2 linked regions of the Daphnia pulex genome follow. The protein of the gene in region 1 binds, or shares a complex with, the protein of each later gene. Links are inferred from orthologs where the notes say so. Each region holds a gene or a part of one and is shown in the gene's direction. Other genes may lie near its edges.

Region 1 (16,450 bases):
TGGTGTCATTTGAAGCAATCGATTGCTACAAGAAAAAGGAAGAATTAAAAATAAATAGTTTGAGTTAATTGTGTTATTTATGGAATAATACTCATAGAATTCTTGTGGTGCGCTTATTTGGTTGTTTTCCATGTGTTCGGAACTGTTAAGTTTGGTCCCATTCCAGCAGTGCTCAGAATTCCAGTCATTGTTACAACTCTCCCAAGGTAAAGGATCCATGAAGGAATTGATTAAGTAATATATTGCCCAGGCAATGATGACATTGTAGTAAGTGGAAAGAAGGAAGGACATGACAACAGTGGCCAAACCAGTTCCTTGATGACCAAAAGATGATAATTAATTTGTAATAAGTTTTTTTCTTCTGTGACCTTGCACAGACCTTTGAAAAATGGGGAGATTTTGTGCATAGCTCCAATTGGTCCTTGTCTTGTGTACTGCCCAACTGCTAGTTCCATGTACAACAATGGGATCCCACATACAATCTATATAAGATAGCTTGCTATAATTCTAGTTTTTAAGAAGATTGTGACTATCAAATATTTGTGCATACCAACATGATGAAATATGGTACCAGAAAAGCACCTCCTCCACTCTTATAACCTGTTCAAATAAATTTTATCTGAATATTTGTTTCAAGTGAGCAGTATCATTGGAATGCAACACTTACAAAGATATGGAAATCTCCACATGTTCCCCAATCCAACAACATTACCAATGCAAGCTAGAATAAATTCTACTTTGTTTGTCCAAGTTTCTCTGACTTCACTAGGTTTTCCATCTTTAGTTTTGGGGTTAATCATGAGGGGATCTTCACACACCATTTTTGTGTTTCCCATTTTGTCAGTATCATCCAAAGAACATGCAGTGTGGATCGTCTTAGTATCGCCTTGTCTGTAAAAAACGTTGTAAACACAATATTGTTAAGTAAATGCAAACATGTTCTAGTTTACCGGGCGATAATGATCAAGTCTACGATATTACAGATGCGGCGATTGTGATTGTTATGTGCTGTGACGAATCCTTTTTTTGTACTCCATATAACAAACAATAAAGGTAACCGCGGGTGTTACATAACCTGTAACATGTTTCTTGCCGACTTATCTCTGAGAGACGTGAGTCGCAACTCCGGCACACACGTCAGGAAGCGGGTAAAAGCAGAAGACTGAAAACAACACCAACTGTCAGTTATCGCTGAACATTGTTGCCTTGGTTACCTGCTGGAGCCCCCTTTCCCACTTAAGTTGGGTATGTAATCAATCAGCTGTGAACATACATGTTCCCATTAAGTTATGGACTTATGGCTGTAACTTATATTCGCAGAAGTGCAATAAAATACAATATGCCGTGTCAAATTATGGCTGCAGTTAAAATAATAGAGGAATAGGAATATAGGATCTCCATGCATGTAATGTGAGCCTCATTTCCAAATGGTTTTTGGATCAGCCCGAATGGGAAAAAAACAAACAAAAACTGTACCGGTCGGGAGATAAAATTTCACAATGTTGTGTTTCTGTGTTTAAATATTTAAAGAAATGATTTTGAATTTGTTACACAATCTAACTGATAATTCAATCATTTAACAGTATTAACCTACTCCTGCGGCCCTGATAACAATATTTACGCAAGTGTATACCTCAAAGCTCAATACGGACATTAAATTTTAGGTCAGAGAAATATAATTCAACCAACTATAACAACAACAGAAATATTAATTGGGCACTTTTTTTTCTAGCTTCCGGTCTTCCACCGATATGGAACACAAGACTTCGTAGTATTTATGTAACTTTGTTAACAGCGGCACATTGCTGAAATGCTCACGTGGGTGATGACGCACATCGCCGCCAAAATAATTTTAGTTCGATTGGAATGTGCTGTCGAATTCGAATCCACTCCCTGTCAATTTATATTTATAAATGCATATTTTTCGTTTTCTGTTAAAAATCTAAATGAATATTCAACAAATTGCCAAATGCATTGTTATCCTAAACTAAGTGGAGATTTTTCCAACTTGTTAAAAACAAAAAAACAGAAATACGATTCTGTGAGTGCGTCACCATTCCTATTCGCAGTTGAAAATAAGCATGTGCTAGACTACACATTGACATTGAATCCGAAACTGCGTAGACTACACGCATGAAAGCTGTGACACCAAAAGCGGATGTCTGAGACATGACTGATCCTGCGCTCTGCTTCAGACAGCAATTAACAATTTAACCTTTTTTCGTGAAGTAAGGTAAATGCTCACGGGTGTAAGACATTTTGATGCGATTTTTCCACCGATAAATATAAAGTTAACATATTATGCAACAACATATGGATGAGACTTTTATTTACGCCTCTGTGCTCTTACGTTTCAGGTGGTTGGTCCCCGGTGGTATGTTGTGAAGAAGATTTGTAGCTTCCTGTAGCTTCGAATATTTCGTTTACCTCGCCACGACTATCACACTGGCCTTTATCAATAAGCTCACTCATTTTTTTATAGATATGCGATAGTTTGATAAATTCTTTGATACGTTTTAGTTAATGGGATTGATGAGGGAACACACGACAACGAAAACCAACAAAAATCACGATAAACCCAACGAACGAAGTGACACGGGAGCGTTAGTCGGGTGTTCATAGGCCTGAGGCTATTTGAGGTCGACTCGCATGAAAAACTCGCAACGTTACTGACTGAAAAATGTGAAGGTTTCACCGTTTGTCCTTGGAGAGATATTATTGTGGGTTAAAAAAAAACCATTGTTCTTTTGAAGGTTTAAATCACTGCATATGTTTGAAAGAATTATACTATACGTGGGCTATGACCGTTTAACCTCTATTCGGGTACCGTACATTCCTGTAATTTTCTCAAGTTTAAACATTTAGCTTTAACATAATAACAATTGTAGAGGTAAAAGAAAAATGAAGACTTGAAATTCATATACGCCATCTGTGTATTCCACGTCGTTAATTGCAAATCAAACGTCTAATAAATGTCTTAGTCTTTGGGATGTAGTAAATGGGGAGTATCTCATGAATAGAACAATGATACACAATTTGGTTATCCGTTGATGATCCAACAGTTCACTAAAACCTAGAACGTCACTGACACATTGTCTGTGAAGGTAAAGATCGCATCTATGGCCACATTTAATTGAAATGATGCAAATTTTAAATCATGGCGATAAAATGACAGTCGATTTTTATACTAAAATTGCTACGAGAAACTTTGTTCGGCGTGGGATTTTTGGGAAAAACCGATTTACCAACTTTCGGTACTCTTTTGGTCACTGTGGATTCAAAAGTCCCGCACTTGGCAACATAACAAGTTTTTTAAACCTGAAAAAAGAAAGCAATAGAGATTACAAATCAATACTGCCGTTAAGGCTGTCCGGTTAGACCGAACTATATACAAGTTCAATATCACAAGTTGGAAAACGTCAGGTCATTTAGCACCATCTACAGTGCGTGGAGCTAATAAACGAGGGAAAGAAGACAAAGTAGAAAACCTAAAAACAAAAACAAAACAAAAATAGAACTGAAAAAGAAAAAGGAATGCGACAAGCCAAAAGCATAAGATTTTAAGCGGTTCGGAATCCCAATTAACTTACAATTTTCGGATGCTCGAATCCTTTTTTCTCGAGCTGGGACGTTTCCACGGAGCGTCGTCCGGTTCGTAGGGTAAAGGCCCTTGAACGGGAAGGTCGCAGGTAGACTCATCTGCTTCCGACGCAAGAGGGTCACCGGAGGAAGCAGTCGACTCGCTATTCAAAGGCGACATCCTTTCAATACTTCAAAATAGGAGAAACAGAAAATCATTAAATTAAACAGCTTAGCCATAATAATTCTTTTTAATTGCCCAGCTTTTAATTACGTACTTGGAATGGTTTTTACTTGGTCGATAAAGCGCTAATTCATCGACCAGATCACTAACACGAGCTTTGAGTTCATTTCGTTCGCAGAGAATCTCTTTTAGTTCGGCTATGGTGAACCGAGGGCGATTTGGATCATTAATATCGATGACAATTTTATTAGTGAGATCTGGTGCGTCGTTCTATTTTCAAAGAGTGATTAAAATTAAAAAATTTAAAAAATGTATCAAATCAGTGTAGGAATACCTGGCACTGAATCAAATCTTCATTGTCTCGTTGTGCGACACCTAGTCGCTTATTCAGCGCAGCCAAATTCCTCGACTGTTCTTGATGTAGAGCCTGCAAATCTGCTCTCTCTTCAACCAAAGTTCTCATTTGCTGAGACATATGAGTTTGTTTCCTCCGCAATTCCTTGTTGATTTCTGTCAATCGATCCACTTGATTGTGTAGCTAAAAATACCAAATAGGTACTGTAACGTCCAGTAATAATTGCAAAAATTTTAAATGTAAATTTACAGATTCTGATTCACAGAGTTTATCTTGATACTCTTTGTCCCTGCAACGCAACAGATCTCTCTGTTTCTCATTAGCTTCCCTGAGCTTTTCGAATAAATCCCAATCAGGCTCTTTTGGTATGGGATCTAAAATATAATTAGATAAAACATTAATATACATTGCTTGATTGAAATCATAAGGAGAAAACCTTACTTTTAGAAACATTTTTCTCTGTACTTTCTTTTAATGAAGAAGACAATCTCTTGTTTTCTTCTTGAACTCTTGAAATTTTCCCTAATAGTTCTTGTGTTTCTTTTTTCCAGTTTTCTTCTAGCTGCTCAATTTCCTTTTCATATCGTAACCTATCAACAGCTTTCTCCCTTTTCTCACGTTCAAGAAGACTGATGTTATTTTGTAATTCTTCTACAAGTTGCCTTTCTGATTCCTGCCTAAGATTCAAGCACAGAAAATAAATAAGAATACATTATTGCTCTTTGTAAAATGTTTTCTTCATTTAAGGACTTACCTTCGAGAGGTTTTATCAAGCAGTTCCAATACTCGTATGACTTTCTGCATCAGCCCTTCAACTAGTTCATTTCCATGAATGCTAATAATTTTTTCTAACTCATTACCAACATCAGAGGCAAGATCAAACACATCCACAACAGAAATATCTGGTAGGGAATCATATTCTGAAGAAGAATCTTGCTGATCTTCCACACATCTTGGTGAAGGCAAAGGCATATTGAATCTTGAACTTTGGCACACAAAACTTTCACTGATTTAATACTCCAAGAGCCCAGATCTCAATTGTTGTTTTAAAAAAGGTTTCATGTAGGGATGTCTGCGGTTAAAATGGTGGATAACTAATAAAAATTTTTTCCGATTTGGTCATAAACTTACGAAACAGTTGTTGAAACCAAAGATTTATTTATTCATTCTCTTCACGCAAGAACAAACAACCCCACTCTGTTTTGGGATGTGTGTTTCATAGAAACCCTTCCTACGCACTGACTTTAAAGGGCTCTTTAGGTGATAAACAGCGGAGAGCAAATGAATGACGTCATTGCAGAATTACTCTATCGACTTTGTCGAAAACAGGTTTGAAATATATTTTACATTTTATGGACATGGTTATAGAAAATACTGCAACGCAATGACATTCGATCTGATAAAAAAATTTATACAATACAAAAATTACGGCAAAAATATTAAAATTTATAATTTATGTATGTTTCAGGTAGTTTCAAGATCTGGCAACACCCATTGCCATGGTGACCAAAATCAGGTTAGTTTTTTCGAATAAACAAGAACAAATCAACTTTCATCACTTTTCCCCTTGAAATAATCGGGAGTGGTTTTATACGATTTCTAAAAATGAGCAATTCATTCAGGCCCAGAAGTGGTTATTCAAACCCTGACAGGTACAGCGCTGCGCTGCCTGTTATGAAAATGCGATTGGAAAACGAAATTATTCGTAAACGTGAAGCAGAAACTCGTCGAAGTGAAACGGCTCGATCGAATGACAGGTATTTTCAAAATTGCAATCTACAAAACGAGAAGTTTGACGATTGGACGTCCCCAAGAAGTGCCCAATTAAGCCACCGTCAATCAAAAATACGTGAAACAGAAATTGATGTGGAAACTCGTAGGAAAAAACTTAAGAAACTGTATCAAGGAGACAGATTAAATGAAGAACAAGCATTGAAAAAAATTAAACAAGAAGAAGAAAACCAGAAGTGGGAAAATATGAAGGATAAAGTGCAGCATTTTAGGCATTCAAAAAGTGTAAAGCTGAATGAGTTTGTCGAGAACAGGGAGCATGAACAGTGGAAATCTACTAGTGCTTCATTCAGGGCATTTGAATCTGAGTTGAAGAAACAGCAACAACAAGAAATGTGGACAATTCAACTGCAGCAGAGAGAAGAAGAGAAGCTAAGATTACTGGAAGAAAAGAAAAGAGAAGCTGTCCAAATGGAACGCTTGGTTCAGGAAGAAAGGAAAAGAGAAGAAATAGAACAGAAGATGGAATTACAAAAGAAACAGCAATGGAGAAAGGATCTAGATGAGCAAGTTGAATTGTTGAGGTTTGTAAAATATTTCTCATGTCTTTTTCCTTATCATCGATTAAACTTAAAAATTCAATACATTATTACATAATATTCCATCTTAGGTCGAAGGATTTTGAGGCAAATGAAAAACGACGAGAGCACGATAAACTAATGGCAGACGCTGCTGCATTGGAGGCTATCAAGGAAGAAATGCAAAAGAAAGAAGAAGAAAGAGCAAAACGACAACAGAACGGGTATTTATATTCTGTGATAATTGTTAAACAACAACAAATTAAATACCTTGCTTTTCAGGGAGTTCCTTACCAAGCAACATTTAGCGAAGTTAAGGCAACGGTCTAAAGAAGTGGCCGCTGATTTGGAAAAAGAAATGAGCTTTGCCGAGAAACTTTTCCCAAATGAAAGTGATTCTGCTTTAGAAAAAGAAAAAACACGTCAAGACATTCAACGATTTTTACAACTCGTTGAAAACCATCGTCGAATCGAAAAAGAACGCCTGCAGCAGAGCGAGTTTTTATTCCAGTAATTGATTATTCTTTTTGGATTATTTTAAGTTCATTTGTAAAATAATATGTCGAATATCTGCCTTCACAGGGAGGAGGCTAAGCGAATGTGGGAAAAACGGGAATTAGAGTGGGAAGCCGAAAGGTTGGCTCGAAAAAAATTAATTGAAGAGGTGATAGCCATTCAGGAGAAGCAGGTAAGTCTTTAACAGTTATTTTGAAAACGGTTAAGATGTAATTTTTCATCATGGTTCTTGTTGCTTATTTAGATTGACCAAAAAATAATCGCTGCACGACAAGAAAGACAGCAACTGCTGCGCGATCGAGAAGAGCTGGTTCATTCACTCGAGAGCTATCATAATCAAGCAAAGAAGAAAGAAATGGAAAATAAAGCTAAACAGTTTCAAACGAAAGTAGATCTTCAGGCTCAAATTGATCACAAACAGCAAAGAGAAGAAGAGTTTAATCATCTGGAACGGCAGAAGCGCAAACACCAAGAGCTCATGGAAGCTGCTCACAACGAAAAACATTGGAATATAGCCATGGACAAATTGAGACTTTAAAGCGTAAAGTTGACGCACATTTCTTGTCATCAAAATGATTCATATCTCGGCTCTAATTTTCTCGTAATTTTTAAATGTTTACAAAATGTGTATTTTTAAGTTACAGCTTATGTCATTCTATCACAGCTATTTTTCGTACTTTTTCGTATTTCAGGAAATATATGGAGCGATCGCAGAATGCCAGTTTATTTCTTATTGTCAGTGTCTAAATCGTGAATTCCTCTGCTCCCGATCAGTGCTATATTTGGATGAAAGTAGCGGATTACAGTAGAGAAAAATTTGTTCATGAAAAATAATTGAAGCTATTATTAGATTTCTACAAAATAACATGGATATACTTCCTGCTTTTGTTCAGTAAACGTGGAACGCGCATTGCAAAGGAGAAACAGTGGAATTTTCCCTTGTGAATCCGTATCGGTATCACAACATCGCGATATGTTTTACCCTGGTTTGTCTCCCAAAGCAAATTAAATCTGAATCCCAATTTTTCTCTGTTTGCTATCAATTATTAACGCGCTGCGCGCTACCCTCAGAAGTCTTACCAAATCATCCATGCCAAATCATTCGAGCTGCTAAATCCTGCCACCTAGCGCTACCATCCAAATTCTGGCCAAAATAAAAAACTAAAAAAAGTAATGTTATAATAAATTAATAAGATACTACTAAATTTCTTTTCACATTATTGTTTTTTTTTCTACGTTTTAAAAAATCCAAATCTAATGTTTTACAATGAAATAACAGAAATTGCAATAAACAGCTGCAGTTGACAGGCCTTGAGGTGAGTCAGTTTGACTACATTGTTTTGACTCTCTGTCTCTGACAGGCTTCCCAAGTTCCACTTCCTTTTCTACTGTGGCAGACTGTAGATGGTTAATAGGTGCTAGCAAAATAAATCAACAAGATTTTGTTAGCCTGTCGGTTTCTGTTTCTGATATCCTTCAGTTAGTTCCTGTTTATACAAAATACCATTGCTATTATGGATAAAGAAGTTCAAAAATGTGTTGAAGAATTGTAAGTAAATCAGAAATCGTTACATTTAAAAAACCGATTGGAACATAAAATTGTGTCGATTTAGGATGACTTCGCCTGGAGTAGTGGGCGTATTGTGTGCAGACAGACAGGGCATGTGCTTAACGTGTAAGACAAAAGCTTCTTTTTTGAAACACAATTGTTTTTTTATAAATATGAACACATTGTTTATAATATAGCACAAGGTGTTGCCAATTCAAACTACTCCGGCTCATTGACTTCTCTGTCACATTTGGCAACAACATTAGAGCCTGGGAAAGGAGATCCTGTCATTTTGTTTGAAAACCATGAAAGGTATGGTAACAATGTCTTTCTATGTTATTTTTATTTTCTAAGTGCTGATTTATTTTTAACTTTTTCTGTTTCTGCAGTCAGTGTTTGATTCATCAGAATATGGGAATGACTCTTGCCGTCTACAAAACCAATACATAAATGCAAAAAATCTGAGAAATCTAAGTTTTTGTGTAGATATACAAATAGGTTCTCATATATTCTTTATTTTTCTTAGCATTCAAACTTTAAGCCACATGATAAAAAAAATAAATAAGAACCTTTGGTATACGCCTTCGGTTCAAAATTTGTGCTTTAGCTGCAGTGGTGTGCTCGATTTCGTTTGTTTCTGTTTATTTTTTAAAAGATGTGGGCCTATTTTGTGTTACAAATAGTAATTTCCTAATGCAATGGGAAGAAAAAGTGAAAATATATCATTGTGTACATATCAGAAATTCTAGAAATTTTCATGAGCGTATACGTCGTAAACAGCAGAAATTTTTAACTGCGCTATACCTAATTACCTGTAGCTTTTTTTTACAGATTGCCTTTTTTTTTTTTTTTTTCAAGGTTTTTTAAAAATAAACGATCCGCGGTTATCCCAGCCTATGGGGGGGATCCTTATCCGTATAGTTCATTTTCAGGAATCTGGAAAGGGAGTTGAGAAATAAAGAATAGATATCCAATGCAGAATCGCAAGACGATTAATTATTGCCTGACCGAACTCCGCCTGTCTGGGAAATAGTCTGGGAAATATTATGAAAATAAAATTTTTAAAAGTTGACTTCTTGGACGATGCATCACTTTTCTCCATTCTTACCGTACCACAGAATAAATAAAAACTAAAGAGTGATGACCTGAAAAACTAGGAGAGCAAAACACGTAAAAAGCTAGTTTTTTTTGCTCCTTTTTTTCTTCCTTTCTTTATCGATTTGCCTTGTACGCAATTTATAATATCGATATAAATATATTTGATATAAATAGCCGACGAGTTGTCGTAGATTTTGATATACATCTGCTTCTTCTTTTGATAGCTCGATTGACACATTATGAATGTGCCTAAGGGAAATGCAATGAATTAATTTTACCATTGTTTTTGTTTCAGCGTATAAATTTTGTATGCACCTTTTTGGCATAGGGATCAGAGGCAAATTTGTGTCCTGAATTTTGTCGTCCTTCATTCGTCGTAAAACAACCGTTTCATCGAGAAGTTTGAGGCGCTCCCCGTCATCGTAAATCCACTGGTTAAAAATCTAAAAAAAAATCTTAAGTTTTTAGGAAGAAAAATTAAAATGTTATTTACTTACACAAAAAACCGTCAAATGGCGAAGCACGTAAAAACCGGAAGTGAGCAAATAGATCTGCCTTGTTATTTTGCAAAGGGGTACCAGTAACGGCCCATCTCCTTTTTGCTCGTAGAAGACAAATAGCGCTACAAAGCTTCGTTTGATGATTTCGAATTGTGTGTGCTTCATCGAGCACAACACGATCGAATTCAATCTGTGTCAATATTAACTGACGAATGAGTTCCGGTCGTGTAAAATCACTAACAGGTTTTGAGTTGGTCGAAGCACTAGCAATATCCTCACGGCCATAATGTTTTATTTCGGCAGCCACGATCTAAAAGGATAAATATATAAAAAAATATTCTTCACTGATCATTCAATCTTTTAATCTGTTTACCCCACAGGTGGTCAGTATCACGTCACACTCGTGTAGTGTCGCTTCAAGCTGTTTTCGTCCTTTCCCGTGGAAAGTAGCAACGGTCGGCGCCTTGCAATGCTTTTCAAGTTCCAGTTTCCGCTGTCCTAAATTTACAGAAGAAAAATAGAAATAAATTAGGATCAATGCCAATCCAATACCATAACGTACTTAGAACACTTGGGGCGGGACATACTATTAGCGTTCCGGATGATTGTTTTATCCATTTAGGAAGCTGAACGGAAGGTGTATTAGATAGAGCTGTCAGGGTCTCTTTATGCTTTGCAATCAAAGCTATAATGCAAAGTGACTTTCCCAGACCCATGTCATCAGTCAAGAGACCACCTATTTATAAATAAGGATTTAATTTGGATTTAATTCAAAATAAAAGTTATGAAAAATTGCCTGATGACGGAGTTTGTTTCTCGCGCCAGAGCAACCCACCGTTGATGGGGAAACAAAGTAGTGGTCAAAAGCGAAGGCTTTGTTTGATCCTTAATTTCAGATGAAGCACGACCACGTACGCCCTTCAGTTTATTGACCAATGATCGGATGTTAAGCTCAAGGCGTGCATCAACACCGTTTAGAGGTTTCACTCCTGACGCTGAAGTACCTGGGCCAGTTTCTGTCGACTTGCCGGGATTTGAAGTTATAACTTGACGGCTAGGTTTCTTAGCTAGGTGGCTTGGGCTGGCATGGATTGGATTGCGAGCCTGATTCATCGTCTAATTGTGAGATTTTGTTTAAGAAAACCAACAAAATTTGATAAATTGTACAAAATATTTACATTATTCGACATCGACATATTAACATTGTTTAACATTATCGTGTAATATAAATTTCAAAATTGCTAGAAATTTAAATATTTGTTATTCCCTAGAACCAAATTACGTAGCCTAATTCGCAACGAGCTTACGGAAGGAGGGGAACGTGACTAGCCCAAACACACTTGGCGGGGAGAAACACGTACTGAGGAAGACTTTAAAATAATAAAGAAAAAGATTTAAAAAGAACCACTGATTCATAAACCCGTCCTGTAATCATATTTTTTTTTGTGCTCGGGCTGGTCAGTGTACGGAAACTCGATTGTCAAAGCACTTGGTGGATTCAGACTAGTTAGTAACTCTTGTTCAATTTTTTCTCATTTACAAAATCAATTGGAATAAGTTTGTGCTTCCAAATTCTGTGTCGATCTAACATGCACATTTTAACTTATCGAAAACAACAAATAAAGGCACGCGAGTTTCAACACAAACACTAATCACGCCGTTGTCGGAAGGAGACTGAGAAAAACAGGAAGGAAGCGACCAGTACCCTTCTTCCCCATCCTCCATAACTGAGAGTAACTGAACAATTTCTTTAAAAAAACTAATTTTTTTGTCTCCTCATAAACATCCTGACTGACACTGACTGTGTAATGTATGAATAACATGAATAGAAAGTTTATATATAATGGTAGAGATTTATTTATTTATTATTTATTTATTAAACCAACAAAAATATATTTGGACTAGATTGCAACTTGTTACACAGTACTGATCTACCTTATGGAATAAATAAATTGTAACATGGATTAAAATTACCTGACGGAGTTTGTGTCTCGCAACCAATTTAGGCCACTCCGTTGATGTAGAAATAAAGTTGTGGTCAACAGTAAAGGCTTTGTTTGATCCTTAATATCAGATGAAGCTCGACCAGCACGTACGCCCTTCAGTTTATTGACCAATGATCGGATGTAAAGCTTATGGCGTGCCTCACCACCGTTCAGAGGTTTCACTCCTGACGCTGAAGTAGCTGGGCCAGTTTCTGTCGACTTGCCGGGATTTGAAGTTATAACTTGACGGCTAGGCTTTTCCCCTTGATGATGCAAAATTGTTTCTATAGGCGGCTTGGGCTGGCCTGGATTGGATTGCGAACCCGATTCATTGTCTACTTGTGAGATTTTGTTTAAGAAAACCAACAAAATTTGATTAATTGTACGCCCTCCTCCCTCCAATTCGTCCCATTCTCCCTCTTCTCCCCGTTCTTCCCTCAAAAAACGTAAACAACGCGTTTAATTCATTTTTAACAAATAAATGGGAATTCAAAAAAATTAAATAATTACATAAAAAAATGTCCTGTTCAATTCTCTATTTCTCTGTTGCAACAAAGTTTTACCATTCTAAACTGGAGTAAAACTACAGACTAAAATCTAAGGGACCCCCCAAAACCCATAAGAACTCCTCATCGCCCAAAGTGAAAGCAGCGCCATAGAATATACTGGTAGCGGTAGCGCCACTGCCATGTTAACTCTTCCTCTCGGAAATTTTCTCTGGGGCTGAAGCCAACTTTAGCAATCGATAGTGAAAATCGGAGCTAAGATATCGATCTCGCTTCTTGCCACTCCTCCACTTTTCCCTCCATTCCTATTACCATGCCTATACCCTACTTCCCCACACACCCGCCGTGGCGCTTATAGCTAAGGAGCAGGGCAGGCAAGCAGGCTTCACTTCCAGAGAAAAAAAGCAATGGAAGTGTTCGTCATATGAGTGGCGGTACCAGTATTCTATAGCTCTGGTGAAAGTCAACATAATATGGCCGCCGCGAGGTTGCCATGGCGTGGGGTACGCGTCATTGGTTTGCTCTATCATGGACTACTTAAGCTAGTGGACGGGTCACTTCGACAAATCCTATGTCGGCTACCATTATTTTTTGTTACTTTAATGAATCGAGCTTCAAAAATGAGCTAGAGTCTATTAAATTATCCCTATGCGGGAATTATTTAATTTCGGTGATATTTAGAAATTGATGTAGGTGTTCGTTGGTTTTCGCCGCCGAGCGGTGATTGTTGGTTGACCACTCTGTGATTCTCTGGTTTTGGTTTGGTTTGGTATGATTAGGTGCGTCTGCTATGGGGCTCTTCGGGATCTGTTTTATTTAGCCGATTTATCTGGCAACGCAGCATGGCGCCAGTCTTTTTTGAGGGAAGAACGGGGAGAAGAGGGAGAATGGGACGAGTGGGAGGGAGGAGGGCGTACGAAAAAAAAGGGGACCCACGTTTCCTCTTCTCCCCCATTCGTCCCATTCTCCCTCTTCTCCCCGTTCTTCCCTCAAAAAAGACTGGCGCCATGCTGCGTTGCCAGATAAATCGGCTAAATAAAACAGATCCCGAAGAGCCCCATATGGGATTCTCTGGTGATTCTCTGGATTCTGTTTGTTTTCTTTCTAAAAACCATGGAAGAGTTTAGAATTCTTAGCGCTAGGTGGAGACAACCAACGAGCACCTCTTCCGTCCTCTCAAAATTAAAACGCAAATTTCTTTTAATTTTTAAATATCTTCACAAGAAATGTGCATTGGAGACTTATATCGATCGAGCCGTGACGCCGAGCGGGGTTGTTAGTAACTAAAACCAAATTCGCAATTATATTTTCTTCTTGTGTAAAACCCATGAGGAAAATTATGGAGTTCAAAGAAAAAAATAAAACATGACAGTGTGTTTGGCCAAAAAGCCAATAATGACTGTAGTAATACTGTACTACGCGAAAGATAAAATCCGAAACTCCGATCTCATCTTGTCTTAAGTTTTACACGTAGCACAGCAGCCGAAATTACAGGATAGTAGCAAGATAGTAGCAGCTGTAACAGCATTGGAAAACGTCACAAATTTTTCTACAAATTTCGATGGCCAATTTAACTGAAGCTTTGCGTCTTAAACTGCAAACTACATTGGAAACTGTTCACTGCGTAAGATTAACTTTTTTTTCATTTTAACCCGTAAGTCTGTTCTTCAAGAAACACTCTTATCATAGACATTATAAGAGTCACTGACCATCTTGCCGCTCGCCTTTCAAAAAAGCATTCGCTATGGATGTCCCCTTCAAATTAGAAGTGATTGCTTTGACTACGGTCATCATTAAACTTGGTGTCTCGCTCTTTCCGTATTCTGGCAAGAATAATCCTCCAATGTTTGGTGACTATGAAGCACAGAGACACTGGATGGAGATCACTGTTAACTTGCCCATTCAGGATTGGTAGGTTTGATGTCGAAAGAGGTTAGCTGAAATGATTCTTAGGATATCCATCTTATTAGGTATAGAAATACAACAGACAATGATTTGCTGTACTGGGGCCTGGACTATCCACCTTTGACAGCCTACCACAGCTATTTAACTGGATTGATGGCTAAGAAAATCAACCCAGATTATGTTAACCTCCTTGCATCCCGTGGATTTGAGAGTCCCAATCACCAGTTTTTCATGAGAATGAGTGTTCTAGTTTCTGATTGCCTTTTTTTTATTAGTGCACTCTATTTTTACATCAAAAACTTAAAAATGGATAACAAGTACAAATGGGTTTTCTTTGCTTTATGCTCCCATCCTGGCCTCACACTTATAGATTATGGTCACTTCCAGTACAACTCGGTTTCCCTGGGTCTGGCACTGTGGGCAATTATTTTTGTTTCCAAAGGAAGAAATCTGTGGGCTGCAGTTGCTTTTTCAGCTGCACTCAATTTTAAGCAGATGGAGCTTTATCATGCCATACCCATATTCTTCTATTTGCTGGCTTCTTGTCATCGCAAAGCTTCCACCTTAATGTCTCAATTGGTAAATTTGATCAAAATTGGGGTTGTTACATTGGCCACATTTGCCCTCATTTGGTATCCATTTCTACAACTTCATGATGGTCTTTTACAACAAGTTCTCTCCCGAGTCTTTCCTTTTAACCGTGGGATTTTCGAAGATTATGTTGCCAATTTTTGGTGCACCTTGAATGTTCTGGTAAAAATCCGACGAATATTGGAACCCACCTCCATTGCTAGCTATTGTTTACTGCTGACTGCTCTGTTCAGTTTCCCTTGTGGACTTCATCTATACTTTAAGAATAGTTTGCGCAATTTACATCTCTGTTTGATCAACGTGTCTCTGGCTTTTTTCCTGTTCTCCTATCACGTTCATGAGAAATCAATCCTTTTAGTAACGTTGCCTGTTTCCATAGCGAGTCCTTATTTCCCGTTCACTGCCTTCTGGTTTCTCTCCATTTCTCATTTCTCCATGTTACCACTGTACGCCAAAGACGATTTGATTCTCCCTGCCGGGGCCGTACTCGCCCTGTATTGTTTGTTGGCTAATAGCAGCTTGAAACTTGAGATGGGTAGATCCATGCAGTTCAAATGTCTAGCTGGCATTTCGGCGATTGGAAGTGCCGTTTTGGCTTTACTATTTCTTATTTGTCCCAATCCGCCAGCCTATCCCTATTTGTGGACACTCTTGGTTTCTGTTTGGAGTTTTGCACATTTTTCAGTTTTTTTCGCCTATTTTCTATATGTTCAATTTTGGGTCGGCTCTCAGTCCTTGAAGTTAAAAATGCAGTGAAGAAATAAATAGGAATTTACAATTGGACACACAAACTTGTTGCTTTATACATTATCTAGACAACACGTTATTCAATCTTTGACAAGAAATTCAGGTTTTCTTTTTCTTTTCCATAGGAGGTAGAAGACCTTTCAGACGGCTGCGGGGCAAAAATCTCAGTCATTGTTGTATCCAAGCAGTTTGAAGGCAAACCTCTTCTCCAACGCCATAGGTAAAGATACTGTTGTTTGTTATATTTAGTACGGTAAAACGTGATAGCTGATAGTAATCTTTTCAATTGTAGGTTGGTGAATTCTGTACTTGAAGAAGAACTGAAATCCATTCACGCCTTCAGTCAGAAAACATTGACTCCAGAGCAATGGGAGAAACTCAAGAATCAACCGTCCGAAAGTTCGTAATTAAAACACCGGGAAAGCTTATCCTTACTGGTGAACATGCGGTGGTGTATGGCAAGTTGGCATTAGCTGCAAGTGTTGACCTGACCACTGAATTTTTTTTGACATTACACACCCATCGTAAACGTTCATCGTCTATTTCCGTGTTTTTGGAAGATTTGAAATTTGATTGGTCCCTACCCCTAGCTGAACTGCCGGTTTCGTGTGTTAAAACGACCCCTG
Region 2 (16,742 bases), on another chromosome or scaffold:
TTATTGTTGATTGGATTTATTTCTATTCGGTTTTTAGGTTAATGATGGCGGGAGGTCGAAAGTTCGAACATGTTGACACTTTTGGGGCTCCCCCCCAAATATTGATGATGTTAGACTGGCCCAGTGGAATATAATGGGACTAGCACATACATTACGTCATTATATATCCAGGCGGTGTACATCTATGGTCTAACTCGACAAAATCCACACAAATAATTGTATCACATGATCTCCTCCTGTCGAAAACGGAGACAACAGCAGAGCGCTCGGCGCGAAAAGGCTCCTATAGGAGCGCGGGATCGTTATTATTATTACGAGCGCGTCAGAGACGAAGAGGAGAAGAGGAGGAGGATGATGATGATGCGCAGTGGTAGCTGAAATCGTTAAGAAGAAAGCGACGCCGATATCCGACACCGCCCGCTCGTTCATTTTCCAGAAGGACAAAAAAAAAAGTTTAAAACTAAAATAAAAAATAAAAAATTTTTTGTTACCCAATTTTATGTTCTTTTTTGAAAAACAATTTCGTTTTTCTTTTTTTTTTTTGAGTTCTGACAAAGTCAAGGATCCGTGCAGATGCGGGACGAAATGACCCCTAGCGACAGCTTGTTAACATTGCCGCCCAAAGCTCCCGAAAAATCATTTCAAATCCCAAATGATAGCCGACGGAAAATTGGAGGCGCGAAAAAAAAAATTTTTGAAAAAATGTTTGAAATTTGAATTCATTTTGGTTTCCAAAAAATCAGGATAAAATGTCGAGAAATTAATCTGATGGCTCGGAGCGTGGACCGACGACCTGTGTGTGTGTGTGTGTCAGGTTAAGATTTTTCCCACACAGTTGAACGGGAGAAAAATGTTGACTGAAAACAAATGCGCGAAAGGTCAAACCCTCTTCGTCAAACGGCACACAAGTCCCGCCGCCCGTCCGTCCGTCCGTCCTAACTCCTAAAAGTTTGACAAAAAAGAAAAATACCAGAGTTCACTCACTGTGGGGATTACATTGTCAGCCATCAGTTATCAAATGAGAGTGTAACAACATTCCAGCTCCCCCCTCAGCTACTGAGAAAAGGAAAATCTAATATTCCGCATTTCCATTTTGAAACGCAGCCACATGTGTCAGCTGAGCGATCAGGGGTGCTGCTTCTGCTGTGGAGGTATTCGGTGTAGTTGCTGCTGGGCCGGCCGGCCTATCCATCACGTCCGTTCCAGCATCGCTGTGACATCTTTTCTCTATGAAATCAAACGAAGCGGAGACAAGATGGAGAGAGAAAAGGAATGAGCCGAGTTTAACCATTTCAAGAAAAAAGAGCTGGTGGTACGATAGGCTCCAACTAATTAGCGAAATTCTAGACTCTCAATCATTCGCCACCGCAGCAGCAGCAGCAGCAGCAGCAGCAGCATGCCATCTTCATCGCCGGCAGCTCAGAGCTCAGTTCAGCTCTATTAGAAACAGATGGGCGGTGTTTTCTTCATGATTATGACGTGCGAATGCGCAAAGGTTTTTCAAACTGAGAAAAGATCTCAGTTGACCAGTCGATTATTTGATTGACAGTCAAATTCTATTTCGATTCAAACGGGTAGTGTCAAATGAATGGGAATGACTCCGGAGTCGATCCTGGGTGATGCCATTCAAATGTCGTCTGATATGGAGCGGGAGCGAACAACGTTACGTACGTACGCGTACGATATTTGCTGCACGTGCAGAGCCGTTGGGGGTAAAAATTGTTCCAAAACATTCGAAAAGATGCGCTCTCCTTATTTTGACTGTACATAATAAACCGCGTAGACGATTGGGTTTCCTAAAAAGCTTTTACTTTCTTTTCTTTTTTTTCTTTTCTTCTTCTTGGATGTTTATGAACTTGTGCACGGACAGAATATTATGTCTCGTCGCTCAAGCTGCGGTTTGGTGTCGTCGTCCTTATAGCTCCGTTTTCGGTGGGCCCATACCAGCCGGCCCAGCAGCCGCCAGCCACTCTCCTCCGAGCTGTAATATAGTCGAGCGGAGGAGGATCTGTCATTGTAACAACAGAGGAACAAGTGAGGGGGTGATGATGACGACCCCACGCGACTCGTTGATGTTTTTTCTTCTTCTTTCTTCTTTCTTTCCCCTCTTGACGCAACCGATTCCACGTCTTTTAAAGAGCATTGCGCTTGCCGCGATTGTTTACTCAACTCTTCAACACGGGCCCCCACCACCACCACCACCACCATCCCCTTGGATGTCAAACTCGGTTTTGGGGGCTCATCAAAACAAAAAGCGGATCAATTTCCCCACTGGAACAAAAAGAAGAAAAATAAAAAATAAAAATGGCAAAAATCGGTTGATGATGATTAATGAAGGAGCAATTCGCGCGTCAAATTGTAACCCAATCTCTTTTCAAACTTTGCCCACAATTTGTGGCCTTTTAACGAGAAACGGAGGGGGGTGTCCCCCCTATTTTATTTCTTACATTTCTCCAAGAATGGAGTTCAGCAAGTGGCCAACTGAGAAGTCAACAAATCTCCTTTTCTCTCTGTGTCTGCCTGTCTGTCTACTAGCTGTACACGTACCTCTTTCGACCAACTTAACCCCGAAAAAACACAAACAGAGAGAGAAAGTGTAATCTTATGATGTGTATCCCCTTTTTCTTTCTTTTTCTTCTTGGTGTGCCACCACACGTTGACAGGCGTTGCTGTTTTCTTTCTTTCTAGTCGACTTATTCCTCTTTTCTTTTCTTTTCTTTCTTTTTTGGCAGTGATCTATTGGTCTGACGACGAAGAGGGTGAACGCCTCTTCGGCTGGCTGTCGAGAGGTGCCGGGGTCAAATGTTAAATCCTACGGCGCTATAGCTCATATCTTCTAACATGGGCCTCTATAGACGGGCGATCGGCTACACACTTGTCATTTTCATTTTTTCAAAAGTTTTTCGAAAGAAACAAAGAAGAAGACAACGACGGCGCAGGGGGTGCACAACTCGGCCAGGCTGGAGAGAAACTGCTGGGCCCGACGCACCAACACACACACAACAGGGTTAAATGACACGCAACAGCTGCGTTGGTATGGGGTAGTAGTAGTAGCTAGTAGTATAGTGGCGCGCATATACTATTGGCTGTGGGTTAGTACACGGCCGCATCATCTTGTGTGGGGGTGACTGAGCCAGCAGGCGTCGCATTTGCATTTCGCGGGAGACGAACAGAGAGAAGAGAGTCAGTGTCACCCTCTTCTTCTTCTTCTTCTTCTTCTAAAAATTTGAATTTTCTTTTTTGTCTTGAGTTTCCCGACTTATTCCTCGAGCTGACACACTTGTCGCGTGATTTACCATTCACGACCCTGCAATCCGAGACGTGAGCGAGGGGGGAAGGTGGCCCAGCAACGACACCAGAGAGCTGGAAAATGAGAAACTCTTTTCGAATAATAATAAAAAAGAAATGTCCTTTTTTCGTGTTCTTCTTCGTTGTGTCTTGTCTAAAGAAGAAAAAAAGAGGGGTGAAACTTAATATTTTTTTTATTGCCTTGTGTGTGGCTACATCAAACGGGCAATAAAAGAGGAAGACGTTCCAAAAAAAAAGACCTAATAAAAAGAAAATGAATTATTGCTGATGATTCTTTGTCAGAGCTGAACTGAACTGATCGCCACCGGGGGGGAGGTTAGAACAGAGTTAAACAAGTTGTGCGCAGATCTTATTCTTCCGGATGGTTTAAACATTAAGAGGCAGTTGTTTCGTGCAAAAAAAAAGTCTTGTTCCATAAAAAGCTGGAAGCGTTTTGAGAAAAAAAAGGCAGTTATTTAAGGGCCGTATTTTACGGCGTAGCCGCCACCGCGGCCGTCTGATTGAGAAGACAAGGCATCGCCACTCTTGAGCACGAGATTAACGGACGGATAGGGCGGAGGACGGAGTAGGATCGTGTGACCCATTTGGGTCAGTGAATTGATTAAGATTTCGGGCAGCTTCGCTTGCGGCATATCTACGAATGAAATGAGAAATGAAATATTTTCGGTGGATTATTGATCCGCAGAAATCGAATTTACCTTCCAGTTCGAGGGAAGAACTCTGCGGTTTGGAGTGGATTCTGGCGGAGCGGATGGCATCGGCGGCTGATTGATTGAACTGGAGGAGATTCATGACGACCTGGGCGAGTAGAGTGGCATCCGCCGAGCCTGTGACGAACCGGGTGCCGCATCGCCCATTCGTTTCGGTCGCAATCACCGGTAAAAGGCCCTGCAATGGACGTTGGCCGGCTTGACCGCCCACATTGTCCGGCAGAGAAGGGTCGTCGTAGAAGCTGGCCATGGCGTTATTCAAGACGTAACCATCGGGAGTCACCAGATGGGCTCCGAAAACGGAATTCAATCCGCTAGGTTATGGGAAAATCGAATCAAATAAAAATTGGCTCGTCAATCAGTTGATTGAAATTCAAGCAAATTACCTGACGACAGCGACGTAAATCTCTTCATTGTCAATCACAGAAACGACTGAAGCGGCAGGTTCCGGCATTGAAGGCACGTCGCTGTTGGGAAGGATCACATTCGGGTGGATTTGCTTCCTCACTTCATCCGCCAGTGTTTTATTGGTCATTTGAGCGACAACCGACGCCACATCTTTTCCAAACAACGGGTCCCCTTTTGACAATGAAAAAGATAATAATGTGACATGAAAGAAATAAATTTTAATTTTAATAATTACGTACCTAATTTCGAAACTTGGTTTTGAGTCACCCTCATAGTTTCGATCATGTCGTGTGTATATCCTAGGGTCAAATAGTCCCTGACAGACAACTGGAAGCCCGATAGGATATTGAGAAGCGAAATGAGCTGGGGACCTGAAGTCGGAGCGGAACTTGTGTACAGAGTGGTTTTCCCATAAGTTCCAGTTATTGCGGTTTCTTCTCGAGCTCGGTACTTTCCCAACTCTTCCATTGTCCAGTCGGCTCCCGCTTTTGCCATGAAATTCACCAGTTTCATGCCCGATTTCCCCTTGTAAAATTCTAAATGAAAAATAAAAAAATGAAGAAAGTTAAATCTGATTGAAATAAATAGAAATTATGTCAAATGTGAATTTACCTTCGGCCCCGTTTTCATTTTGGGCCAGAGAATCCAACAGTTTACCGAAGGCTGGCTGACGAATGACTTGGCCTTCGGCGAGAGGGATGTTGTTGGGAAAGAAGAGCTGGGATCGGCGCAAGGGAGAATCACTCGGAATTCCTTGCACCGCCCCAGCTAGCTGAGATGACACGTTAATCCCGAGATTACTCAACTGGATGGAGGGTTGTAAAAGATCCGCCCACTTCAGTTTGCCAAATTTCTTGTGACTCTCCCACAGGCCACTCAAAAGACCGGGGATTCCCACAGCCAAGGGTCCTTGGCCGTTGACGATCAAAGACGCATTCACTGGTCCGGGGGCTGCGTCTTGAAAGTTGATGACCATTGGTGGCTTTGAAGTCAGGTGGTTGAGTATAATCATAGCTCCACCACTGTCAACATTAATTTTAAAATAGATTTTGAAAGAGGATGCAGGGATGACAAGCATTGCATTTCAAAATATTGATCTCACCCTCCAAGTGAAGTGATGTGAGGATTGACAACACACATGCAGAACATTGCTGCAACTGCTGCATCGATTGCATTACCCCCTTTTTGAAGGGTATCAACACCGATTTGAGAGCATTGCTGGCTGTCTGTTGCAACTGCACCTCGTGGCAGTATCTAAATGTGAAATTTCAATATTAATTTGTTGTGTAGATAGCAGGAATGTATAAATGTTGTCATTGAGTAGAAAAATGGATACACACCTCAGGATCTCCTAGATAGATGCTTATAACTAATGCAATTGTGACACAGATGCATAGAACTCCAAAGCAAAAGATAATCACTCTTAGCCCATCATTTTGTTGGCCAGAACAACAGTTCCCAAATCTTGCTTTTTTGTGGGTTGGAGAGAGTGGAATGGTTTCCATGATATTAAATAGTATTTGATTAATTGCAGTTTGTAGGAATTAAAACATCACAGCGACGAATTCTAAGGCTGTCAGATATCTTGAGTAAACCAATCACGACTATATATAGTTGGAGAAAGTTTTATGACGGGGAAGCGGAAAAATAATAATAATAATAAAAAAAAACGTGTAGGCGGGATCGCCCTGTCAAAACAAGACCCTCCTATGTTTTGTTTTGATTATAAGCTATCAAACAATTCGCTAGATGTCGCGGAAATTTGCAAATTACGCGCGATAAATGAATCACGAAGTGCAGTTCATGAAATATCAATTGTAAACATTCGATTACACGCGATAAAATAATACACTTCATTATAATTAATAATGTATCATTTTAAGTACATCAGATGTTACGTGGCTTAAGAGTAAATGATCACAACAAACTCATCTAGTGGTGACATATGGAAACATTAATTTACTGATTTTCCGACTTTTAGATGGCGCTTTTGTTAATAAATATTTGCTGACACTTGCTGACTTCTTCTGCTAATCTGCTATTGATGTTGTGAACTGTGATTCATAAAAAAGTCACAGACTTGACTAATGGAGGTAATGTTTGTGGGCGTAATTTATTTGTCAGTTAACGATGTTTTTCTTAAATCTTTCTTTAAAAAACTGTTTCTGTTTTCTTTCGGCAGGAATTGCGAAAATATGTTGCGTGCATTTTACAGCGGTAAGTTAAACATGGCTAAACTCTACCATTGATTATATAAGAAAAGTCTTGATAGGTTTATAAACTATGTTTATCTTTTGTACTGCCCTATTTTCAGAGTGGACGGTCTTTTGGCAATTATTATAACTGACCGAGATGGTGTGCCTCTAGTCAAAGGTTTGTAAATATTCAGTATATTGTGATCTCAAATTCATTTCCCGATTTGTTTTTATCTTTACAGTGGCCCTTGATTCTGCACCCGAGATGGCCCTTAGACCAAGTTACCTTTCCACCTTTTCAGCTATGTAAGGGCTTGTTTGTAGAAATCAATTAGCTACGTAATCGTATCCACACAACAAGTCAACATAATTTTTCATTTGTGATTTCCACAGGGCAACAGATCAAGCTGGAAAGCTTGGAGTTGGAAAAAATAACAAAATCATTTCTATCTATTCAAATTATCAGGTATAACAATTTTCAATTACAGACTATTTAAGAAAGTGTTGTGAAACCTTTTTCTCCTGATTGTACTAGGTGATTCAAATGAACAAGAGTCCGCTGACAATAAGTCTGATTGCCAGCAAGACAGCAAACACTGGACAACTGGTCAATTTGGAAAATGACCTTTTAGTTGTTGTTAATGATCTAGCTTCTTCAGTTGTTGAATGAAACAAAAAAAAAATCATTTCAATTCATGTTACAATTTTCATCATATCTTGAAAATCATGGGAAATTGTTTTCATCCGTAAAAAAAACCATGTTTATTCTTCCAATCAATTTTTGTGTTTTTCCAGTTTCGTTCCAACAATATCCATTTAGAGGGCGTATCACTTGACCTTGTGTTAGATCGAATGTCATTATTACATATGCCGTAGTGTGGCGCTTTATTTCGGTCATGCGATCCCACATTGGCCAGACAAATGAACGTCTTGGATTACACTTGAGAAAGCATTATTTCCTGTTCGATGCCCCGCTGTGATGAGGGAACCTTTTCTGTGCATCGGGTCGATATACATTTGGCTCGTCTTATTTTCCAGGTGGTGGCCAACAAATAGTTGTGAAGAAGACGCCACAAGTGTCAGATAGTCGTACGACGAGTGCGTTCCTCTTCTTGACGGCCGCACAAAAGCGACCTGGGGTTTTTATTATTGATCGTTCTTTGTATATAGGGGCCGGGCTGCACGACGTGGAAAAGCTGGCTGCTCTCTCTCTCCATTAGTGGGGGTCCTGCACACGCAGCTCACGGGACGATGGATGCAAAAGGGGGAAAGACGCGAGAGAGTTATGCTGCGCTTGCGCCGGGGCGTTTTCCCAGTTCGCCGCAGTAGGTTATCTACTCCCGGTGGCACCAAGACGTCCGGGTGGCTTGGCTTTAATTTTTTTTTGTTTTAGTCCTTTCGGACAGCTCACCGACCTCTGATGTGTGTTTCCCCCCCATTTGTTTTCCTTTTTTGAGTTGTGTTAAGGATTTTTGTTTGTTTCTGTTTCGCCATTCGCCCGTCGTTCACCTGCTCTTTTCGTCGGTACGTAATTATGGGAACGAAACCCACCCGGATGACGTCCCCGTGTACATGAGACAATTTTGTGTCCATCTTCCTTCTACCTCCAGTTCGATCTGACATCGACATCTGTCTTTTTCGTTGAACGATTGACCTGTTGTGTCTCCTGTTGTGCAACATCAAGAACAATCGGCCAGTCTCTACAAGACAATGAACAGCTACGTTCAGGTATACATCAACAACTTCCTCCTTGAACTCTTCCTGCTGTGTAGTAGTCGTAGTAGTAGTAGTAGTACGTCCACTTCATGCAAGAGCCTGGCCCTGTTTTTGTTTAGCTTCTGTTGTGTCTATGGGGTACTACTCTCTCCCAGCTGTAGAACTAAATCGATTGCCGGAGCTGCTGAGAGCCAGGCGAGAGAGAGAGTCAACCCCATCTTCTCCCCCCTCTCTCCTGTTTGCAACCGAAAAAAGATAGCATACTGTGTTACTTGTCAAGCTAGAAACTCTCTTGAGATTGTTAGAACCAAATAATCCGTTCCCGAGAAATTCGTGAAATAAAAACAACAACCCTAAAAGACATTTTCCTGTTTACAGTGTTCACTGTGATAGGTGATTATTTTCTTCCTGTTTGACTTCATCCGTCTTTTAACTCTTTTTCTTTTCGTACTCTGTTTGACAGATGACTTGTTACGATCACGGTGGCGTCGAAGAGGACGACAGCTCCATCTTGACGGCGTCAGTCCCGACCACCGAAACCGCCAACTTTATCAGCCCAACCGTCCACATCCGCACGGTGAGAGGCTTCAAATTTTTTTCAGAATGTTTAGTCACTTCTTATAAAGTGTCCACAAGACCAAAAATCAATAACTTTGATGTGATATGTACCGAGGCGTCTGTGTGAGTTGGTTTTTCCTTCATGTTTATAAAATTCTCCGCCTCGACGGATTATTGTACGCCGTTCACCGCCGTTAAATGCTTGCGCCAACGAAGCTTAACGGCTCAAGTGATCATTAAATATTTGGTTTTGGCTTTGAATTTCCGTTCTGCCAATGGGCGCTGGAGAACAAACAACCCAAAAAAAGAGTCTAAATATAATCCGTTCCGTGTGCGCATTATTTCCTTCGCCATCTCTCCCATCGCCTTTTTTCCTTTTAAACTCCGTCAAATGTTCCTCTTCTTTTTCTTTTCTTATTTTATTTCAACGACTTGTTCCGGCCATTACTTTCGTGGCTACGGAGCCTCTCCGTCGGCGCGGCCTGACAGATAGACCAAACTAAAAATATTTACCCTCATTTCAAAGCAAAAAGTTTCGTCGGGATTCGACCGTTCCTTTAGCCGTTGCTGTCCCGATTCCCCCCCAAAACTGCGCAATTCTTTTGTTTTCTGCCAGAAAGTTGAACTAATCAGAACTTTTTTTTGTGATGATCACCCACACCGAAAGACAATGTTGCTGATGTTTTGATTGATACACAGTTTCCAGTTGCCGAAGGCGGTGGAGTGGGCGTCTTGTCCGGATGGGCTCGCGTCCGCAACGGCTGGAAATCGCACACGGCGCTGGAGCGTAGCCTGTTGCTGGTGACTTGTGGACTGGTCACACTCATGGCTCTCGTCTTGCCCGCTCTCATCTCGGCCTACGTCAATCTCAAATCGAAACAGGACCTTCGTTTGCTTCACATTAGTCACCGAAGCGGCAACAGCGACTCGGCTTCAGGTTCATCTTCTTTGATTCTTTTATTTTTCTACTCTAACAATTTCCACATCGAAAATCACATCCAGACAATATCAGAGTTCCCCAGTGCGTCATTCGTTAGTTGTTACCCGGGAAACGCTTCTCGGGTGAAACTTATTTTGGGAGTAGAAGAAAAAAAGAAATTCGACGGTATAATTTCATTTGCCAAGTCACTCAGCCAGTAATTAGATGAGAATAATTCTGTTCTTTCTTCTCTCTTAAACGGCGACATTATTCCATAATTGGGGCGGAATTGGACAATGTTGGAAGGGGTTATCAATCGTGCCCGTCGATTTCTATGTCGTTCCACGGGTAACCAAATATCAGCCCGCTTTACAAAGCCTTCATTCTTTTTACTTCCCTGGGCTGCACTTAAATGAATCGAATATCGGGGGGTAGCAGAGTACGCTTGTTAGTGACTAATGAGCATGATTTCCCGTGAGATAGCACGCTTGTCATTAAAAAGAAAATAAATACGGAGAGCCCATATGCAAATGATGACGAAAAATAAAGCGACAATATAAACTACATTAGACGAGTCTCTGCCTCTGCATCTTTTATTGCTATCGATTAGCTGTCACAACGTTGAAATGGAGAGCCACTTTATTGTGACATACTATTTGATAACCTCTTCTTCTTCTTCTTCCTTTGATGGCCGCTTGATTTGAAAACGGAGAACAGATGATGGGTGTGGTTTATGCACGAGCACCGCTTGCGTGAGCGCTTCTGCGTTGATGATGTCTGCCATGGATACGTCGGTCGATCCCTGCCAGGACTTTTTCCAGTATGCGTGCGGGCGCTGGATTCGCACCAATCCCATTCCGGCCGGAAAACCCATTTGGGGCACCTTCGATCGACTTTGGCAGGATAATCAGATCGTCATGAAAACCATTCTAGGTATTATATATCGGCTTATAATAGATTACACATCTTTCTTCTCAACAACAATTCCATTTTTATTTTGGGTCGACTTTTGACTATTTTAGAACAACCGGCCGAGTCTTTGAGCAGCGAAGCGGAGAAAAGAGCCCAGCGCTACTATCAATCCTGCCTGGACGTCAACGAGACAATGGAAGCGCTGGGTGGCAAACCGGTGATTGACCTATTGACTCAAATTGGAGGCTGGCCAGCCATTGAACCGTCCAACGCCGAGGCCGAGAAACGTTGGGTGTTCCAAGGAGCTCTTCAAACTGCTCACAATGTCATGAACATGGGCGGTTTCTTCACCTGGGCCGTGGCTGAAGACGACAAGAATTCATCTCGTCATATTATTCAGGTGAGTTCATCTATCATTTTTCCAATATGGAGAATTAAGGCGAATTTCTTGTTGATGTAACAGATGGATCAGAGTGGACTGACATTACCCAATCGAGACTATTACATCAACAAAACGGAAAGCGACGAAATCCTGGTCGCCTATCTGGACTACATGACCAAGGTTTGTTTTTCCTAGAGCCGAGCTAGTTCTATAGTTGCACAGCGCAATAATCAGAGTAAACAACAACGTGTCGAATTGCATTTTTAGGTGGGCGTATTGTTGAACGCTGCGGTCGACCCGCAAGAAATTCGAAAGCAGATGAAGGACGTCATCGAACTGGAAACTCGTATCGCGCAAATCACCGTCTCGTCTGCTGAAAGGCGAGATGAGGAGAAACTCTATCACGCTCTCACCATTGCTGATCTCCGAAACCTAGCTCCATTCGTTAGTTATTTACTTTTTACCATTAACAACTAGGATGTTGGGTTTTATTTAATCATTTTAACGGTTGTATTTCAATTTTTCGAAACACACCTGATGGTTTCAGCTCGATTGGAATGCCTACTTTCAATCGGCCTTTTCTCAAGTCAACATCACACTCACGCCGACCCACCCGGTGGTATTTATAACAAACATTAAATTCATTTCTTTTATTATCAAGATGTTAATCTTTGATTTTTTTTTACGGTTAGGTCGTCTTCTCGCCAGACTTTCTGCGCAATCTCTCTGTAATCATTGAAGAACTGGTGACCAATGACAGAGGCAAAAGGTAGTAATCTATCGAGATTATTTCTTTTTAAACATTCCCGGAATTCTCATTGAATGATTAACATAATAGGATGCTCCACAACTACATGGGATGGCACGTCGTCCGCTCATACCTGTCCTACTTGCCAAAGGCGTTCAGAGAAGCGGGCAAGATCTTGCGAAAGTTGCTGATGGGCTCGGACGGCAACGAGGAAACTTGGCGCTCCTGCGTGACGGACACCAATAGCGTGCTGGGCTTCGCCGTCGGCGCCATGTTCGTCAAACAAAACTTCCACGGCGAGTCGAAACCGCTGGCCGAAAACATGATCGCCGCCGTCAAAGAGGCTTTTAAAAATAATTTCGATAACCTGGACTGGATGGATGACGAGACCCGACTGGCGGCCAGAGATAAGGCCGACGCCATCACTGATATGATAGGTTGCGTGCCGATGATGATGACGTATTATGGTCCTACTTTTCAACGGAAAGTAATTATAGAACTCTCGTTTTTTTTGGGGTTTTTCCAGGTTACCCCAAGTTTATTCTGAATCCGGAAGAGCTGGATGAGCTCTACGGCGACTTGAAAATCGAATCAAACGAATACTTCCTCAACAACGTCCGCTCCAATCAGTTTGCCCTGCGCCAAAATCTAATTAAACTCAACGAACCCGTCAACAAAACACTGTAATTCTCTCAATTAATTTAATATAATTCATCTAATTGAATTCTGAATGAAGCATAAGCTGCATGTTTCCGGTGGATAATAAAATTAACATATTTCCAACCTACATGCAGATGGGGAATGACGCCGTCGATGGTCAACGCTTACTACACTCCCAACAAGAATCAAATCGTTTTCCCCGCCGGTATCCTCCAGCAGCCGTTCTTTGATAATTCATTTCCTTACGCACTCAATTTCGGCGCCATGGGCGTCGTGATGGGACACGAATTGACGCACGCGTTCGACGACCAGGGCAGAGAATTTGACCGCAATGGCGACTTGGCCCCGTAATTCATATAATTTTAATTTTAATAATAATCCAATAATTATAATAAGAAATAATTATAATACCTAGATGGTGGAATAATGCCACGATCGAACGTTTCCAGAAACGCACCGAGTGTCTCATTCAACAATATTCTTCCTACACAATCAACGGTCAACCTCTAAACGGGAAACAAACATTAGGTAGATTGTTATTTCTACATATATGTAAGAAACAGTTTTTGATTGTCTAGTCTTTAATAGGTGAAAATATAGCTGATAATGGCGGGTTAAAAGCTGCTTTTCACGCTTTCGACAATTGGTCGTCTACTCGCGACGAGGAGCTTCTGCTACCCGGACTCAATTTGACAAGAAACCAACTGTTTTTCCTAGCATTCGCTCAGGTGAGAGTTGATTATTAAAAGTAGCTCACCTAGTACGATTAATCAGCGCTAAATTGATATTGTGTGAGAAGGTGTGGTGCTCATCGAGCACAAAGGAAGCCCTCCATCTGCAGATATTGAACGATCCACATTCGCCAGCCCGTTATCGAGTGATAGGACCTGTGTCCAATATGCCTGAATTCTCGTCAGTTTTTAAATGCCAGCCGGACACTCCGATGAACCCGAAAAATAAATGTGAAATTTGGTAGTTATACTTCCGTGGGTTCATAAAAACGACCTAATCAGAAATACGTTTTTGGGACAAATCTTTGACGCAACTACATTTATCTTCCCTCTTATTGTGTTTGATCTTGGTGTTAATATTTATTATGTGGACAAAACTATACCCCTTGCCAAACCAAATCATATCATAAAAAAAATGATGTGTCGTCGTCCATGATCTCCCAATATCAGTCGTGGGGTTTCATTATAATCATACGTGTTTTCCGTTTAAAAAAAATCATTATCTCTCATGGCCGATTTTAATATTACTATTCTGTAATATCCACGATGAATCAAAAGAAAAATAATGAATACAGCTTTTAAAAACGCCAACGATATTGAAAAAAGTATTAATCGCGATACTTGGACCCTAACAATCGATCATGCTATAAATCGTTTGAACTTGAATCGATTCGTTGGTTCTATTTCTTTCCTTTATTTCTCAAGTAAATAATAATGTCGGAGGCGAAAAGCTCTGCAATTAGTAAAATTCTGAGATCCGAATTTTCTCAGATTGATGACAGCATCTATCAGTATATAGAAGGTGATTGTTGAACAGGATTGGGGTTTTCATTTTTGGTGTGGGGCATGGGAATTGTTTCCTTCGACAGCACGAAATACGTGTAAACCATGTGCTTTGAGACGTCTGAAAAGTGCTAATAGTGTCCCTATTTTTCATTTCACTTTTGATTTAGGTGTATTGGATGTTGGAGATGATTTTCAAAATTCTAATGAAGTCTACGAAGCAATTGGAGAAGTCCTTCATGAGGTCGCTGCCAACAAAGGAGAGGACGAGATCAGGTACTTTCAACTTTTTGCTTCTAAATCACACAACATTTTATATTCTTACTTGTTATTTAGGAAACTATGCCAACAGCTCTTGACAGTTTTAAAACCTGACTTGGTTGACGGCCAGCAGAATGGAGTACATTCTAGTTACAATGGCGGTGAAAGAAAACTCCTCAACAATCCAGTTATGATGAGTGATGCTGCGTCATTCATGAAGGAAAATGATGGAGAGGCCCCAGCTGCAAGTATATGGAATAAACCCAAAGGAGAGGATATGGTAAGTGAGTTCTGTAAATGTTTTCTTAAATCCTTTGTTAAACAAACTTTTGTATGCAGAAAGTTGACACTAGAAAATTGGAAAAGGCTGAAGCCAAACTGCAGCAAAAGCAACAGATAAAGAAGGAGAAAAACTCTAACGCACCTTCAAATGCTACAGCTTCTCAAGTATTGACGAAAAAGGAAACCAGAATGGAAGCCAAAGGCACAAACAATTGCAAAGATATTCGTATTGAGAATTTTGATATTGCCTACGGAGACAAGTAAGAAACAACATCTCTCCTCTTTTGTGCTTAATTTATGTATTTATTGTGTTCTTTTTTTTGTGTAGACTCTTGTTGCAAGGTTCTGACCTTTCTTTGGCTCATGGCCGACGGTATGGTTTTGTCGGCCGAAATGGACTTGGAAAAACGACGTTGCTTCGCATGATTTCATCGTAAAAAAAAATACTTAAAATATTCTTAGCTCTTCACATCATTCAAAATTCTTCCTTATCTAACTTTTAGTGGGCAATTACGGATTCCGTCGCACATTTCCATATTGCACGTTGAACAGGAAGTTGTCGGCGACGAAACTCCAGCCATTCAGAGCGTATTGGAGTGCGACTTCAAAAGAGAAGCTTTACTCAAAGAGGAGAAGGAACTTGGCGAAAAAATGAACGGTCCCAGTGCGGATCCTGAAATGAGCGCAAGATTGTCTCAAATCTACATTGAACTTCAAGCCATTGATGCTGACAAAGCACCAGCAAGAGCGGCGCAGATTTTGGCCGGCTTGGGCTTCTCTCCAGAGGGCCAGTTGAAGGCGACTAAAACTTTTTCTGGCGGCTGGAGAATGCGTCTAGCTTTGGCGAGAGCACTATTCTCAAAGTAAGATCCTTGAATTTAATTTTATTTCCTACACAGTGATTTAAATGAGTTCTAACATTTTAGGCCAGATTTACTCCTTCTCGATGAACCGACGAACATGTTGGACATGAAGGCTATCATTTGGCTCGAGGATTATCTTCAAAATTGGCCTTCCACTCTGCTAGTAGTTTCTCACGACCGAAATTTCTTGGACTCTGTTCCTACCGATATCATTTTTCTACATGCGCAATGTCTAGAAAGTTACAGGTATAACTTTGGCCGACTACTTATTATTCCTTTGCTTCTCGAACATTCGTTGTATTTCATTTTCCCTTTTGCAATTCCCAGAGGTAATTACGAGAACTTTGTTCGTTCAAGAACAGAAAAGTTTAAAAATCAGCAACGAGAGTACGAAGCACAGCAGCAGTTGAGGGAGCACGTCCAAGAGTTTATTGATAAATTCCGTTACAACGCCAAGAGAGCTTCCTTGGTTCAGAGTAAAATCAAAATGTTGGAGAAACTGTAAGTTCATCAACTTTCCTTATTAATTTTAATGACTAACTAAAGAAACTTTTTATTTCGATCCAAGGCCTGAATTAAAACCTGTAGAAAAGGAAGTTGAAGTCATCCTGAGGTTTCCTGAAGTCGAGCCTATTGCACCTCCCGCAATTCAATTGGACGAGATGTCTTTCGGGTACACTATTCTGTTTCGATCTTTATCAGTTTAATTCGTTCTATTCACCCGTCAGCCTCTCAAGTTATTATACCTCACTGCGACCTCTCAATGAATGCATAAGAAGGGAAGTTTCTAAACTAATTGTATGAAATGAATATCCATACAGGTATACTGAAGGGAAAACTATTCTCACTCGTGTTAATCTGTCGGCTGGATCCGACTCGAGAATCTGCATCGTAAGTCTTATGCAAATGACTTGAGTTTTCATAAAGCTTCAATCACGTTTCTTTTGTTGTACAGGTTGGTGAAAACGGTGCCGGCAAGACTACTCTTCTGAAGATTCTTACTGGCGAATATAATCCCACGTCTGGAATGAGGCATAATAGCCGGCATTTACGTATAGGTTATTTCAGTCAGCATCACGTTGATCAGCTTGATCTGTCCTTATGTCCTGTCGAGCTGCTGCAAACCAAATTTCCTGGTAAGTAACTACTCCATGCGTTTCCGTTGGACATGACATTTAATCTTGAGCTTTTTTTCCCCCTTCATTCCAGGTAAGCCCATCGAAGAGTATCGGCGTCTGCTGGGTAGTTTTGGTGTATCCGGTGACCTTGCCCTTCAGAACATTGCTAGTCTCTCTGGAGGTCAGA

Evidence for each region.
Region 2: ragulator complex protein LAMTOR5 homolog (region 1) and ragulator complex protein LAMTOR3-like share a complex: the UniProt entries of both Homo sapiens proteins name them as parts of the ragulator complex. The link is inferred for Daphnia pulex from reciprocal best matches to the Homo sapiens genes LAMTOR5 and LAMTOR3.

Annotation. Positions count from the first base shown.
Region 1 is NC_060023.1:5,829,567-5,846,016, forward strand, and holds ragulator complex protein LAMTOR5 homolog, read left to right. Parts: upstream 1-8,276; 5' UTR 8,277-8,457; coding exon 8,458-8,492; intron 8,493-8,556; coding exon 8,557-8,618; intron 8,619-8,689; coding exon 8,690-8,804; intron 8,805-8,881; coding exon 8,882-8,942; 3' UTR 8,943-8,954; downstream 8,955-16,450. Other genes in the region: sodium- and chloride-dependent GABA transporter ine-like, read right to left, coding at 1-25, 92-314, 380-482, 551-600, 668-891, 2,351-2,472; RILP-like protein homolog, read right to left, coding at 3,425-3,488, 3,591-3,770, 3,858-4,033, 4,098-4,301, 4,368-4,492, 4,560-4,795, 4,873-5,090; trichoplein keratin filament-binding protein-like, read left to right, coding at 5,724-6,433, 6,520-6,651, 6,710-6,937, 7,010-7,115, 7,188-7,481; transcription termination factor 2-like, read right to left, coding at 10,026-10,033, 10,088-10,400, 10,464-10,588, 10,653-10,806; dolichyl pyrophosphate Man9GlcNAc2 alpha-1,3-glucosyltransferase-like, read left to right, coding at 14,326-14,492, 14,552-15,833; mevalonate kinase-like, read left to right, coding at 16,192-16,450. UniProt on the Homo sapiens protein: As part of the Ragulator complex it is involved in amino acid sensing and activation of mTORC1, a signaling complex promoting cell growth in response to growth factors, energy levels, and amino acids.
Region 2 is NC_060018.1:11,747,394-11,764,135, reverse strand, and holds ragulator complex protein LAMTOR3-like, read left to right. Parts: upstream 1-6,416; 5' UTR 6,417-6,514; coding exon 6,515-6,520; intron 6,521-6,609; coding exon 6,610-6,644; intron 6,645-6,741; coding exon 6,742-6,800; intron 6,801-6,864; coding exon 6,865-6,928; intron 6,929-7,015; coding exon 7,016-7,088; intron 7,089-7,157; coding exon 7,158-7,292; 3' UTR 7,293-7,577; downstream 7,578-16,742. Other genes in the region: glutathione hydrolase 7-like, read right to left, coding at 3,765-3,943, 4,008-4,333, 4,406-4,598, 4,667-4,963, 5,040-5,449, 5,530-5,681, 5,768-5,932; endothelin-converting enzyme homolog, read left to right, coding at 8,333-8,350, 8,802-8,915, 9,596-9,833, 10,533-10,748, 10,838-11,127, 11,191-11,289, 11,377-11,553, 11,657-11,728 and 7 more; ATP-binding cassette sub-family F member 3-like, read left to right, coding at 13,963-14,050, 14,202-14,307, 14,368-14,572, 14,632-14,834, 14,903-15,007, 15,078-15,437, 15,501-15,683, 15,765-15,938 and 4 more. UniProt on the Homo sapiens protein: As part of the Ragulator complex it is involved in amino acid sensing and activation of mTORC1, a signaling complex promoting cell growth in response to growth factors, energy levels, and amino acids.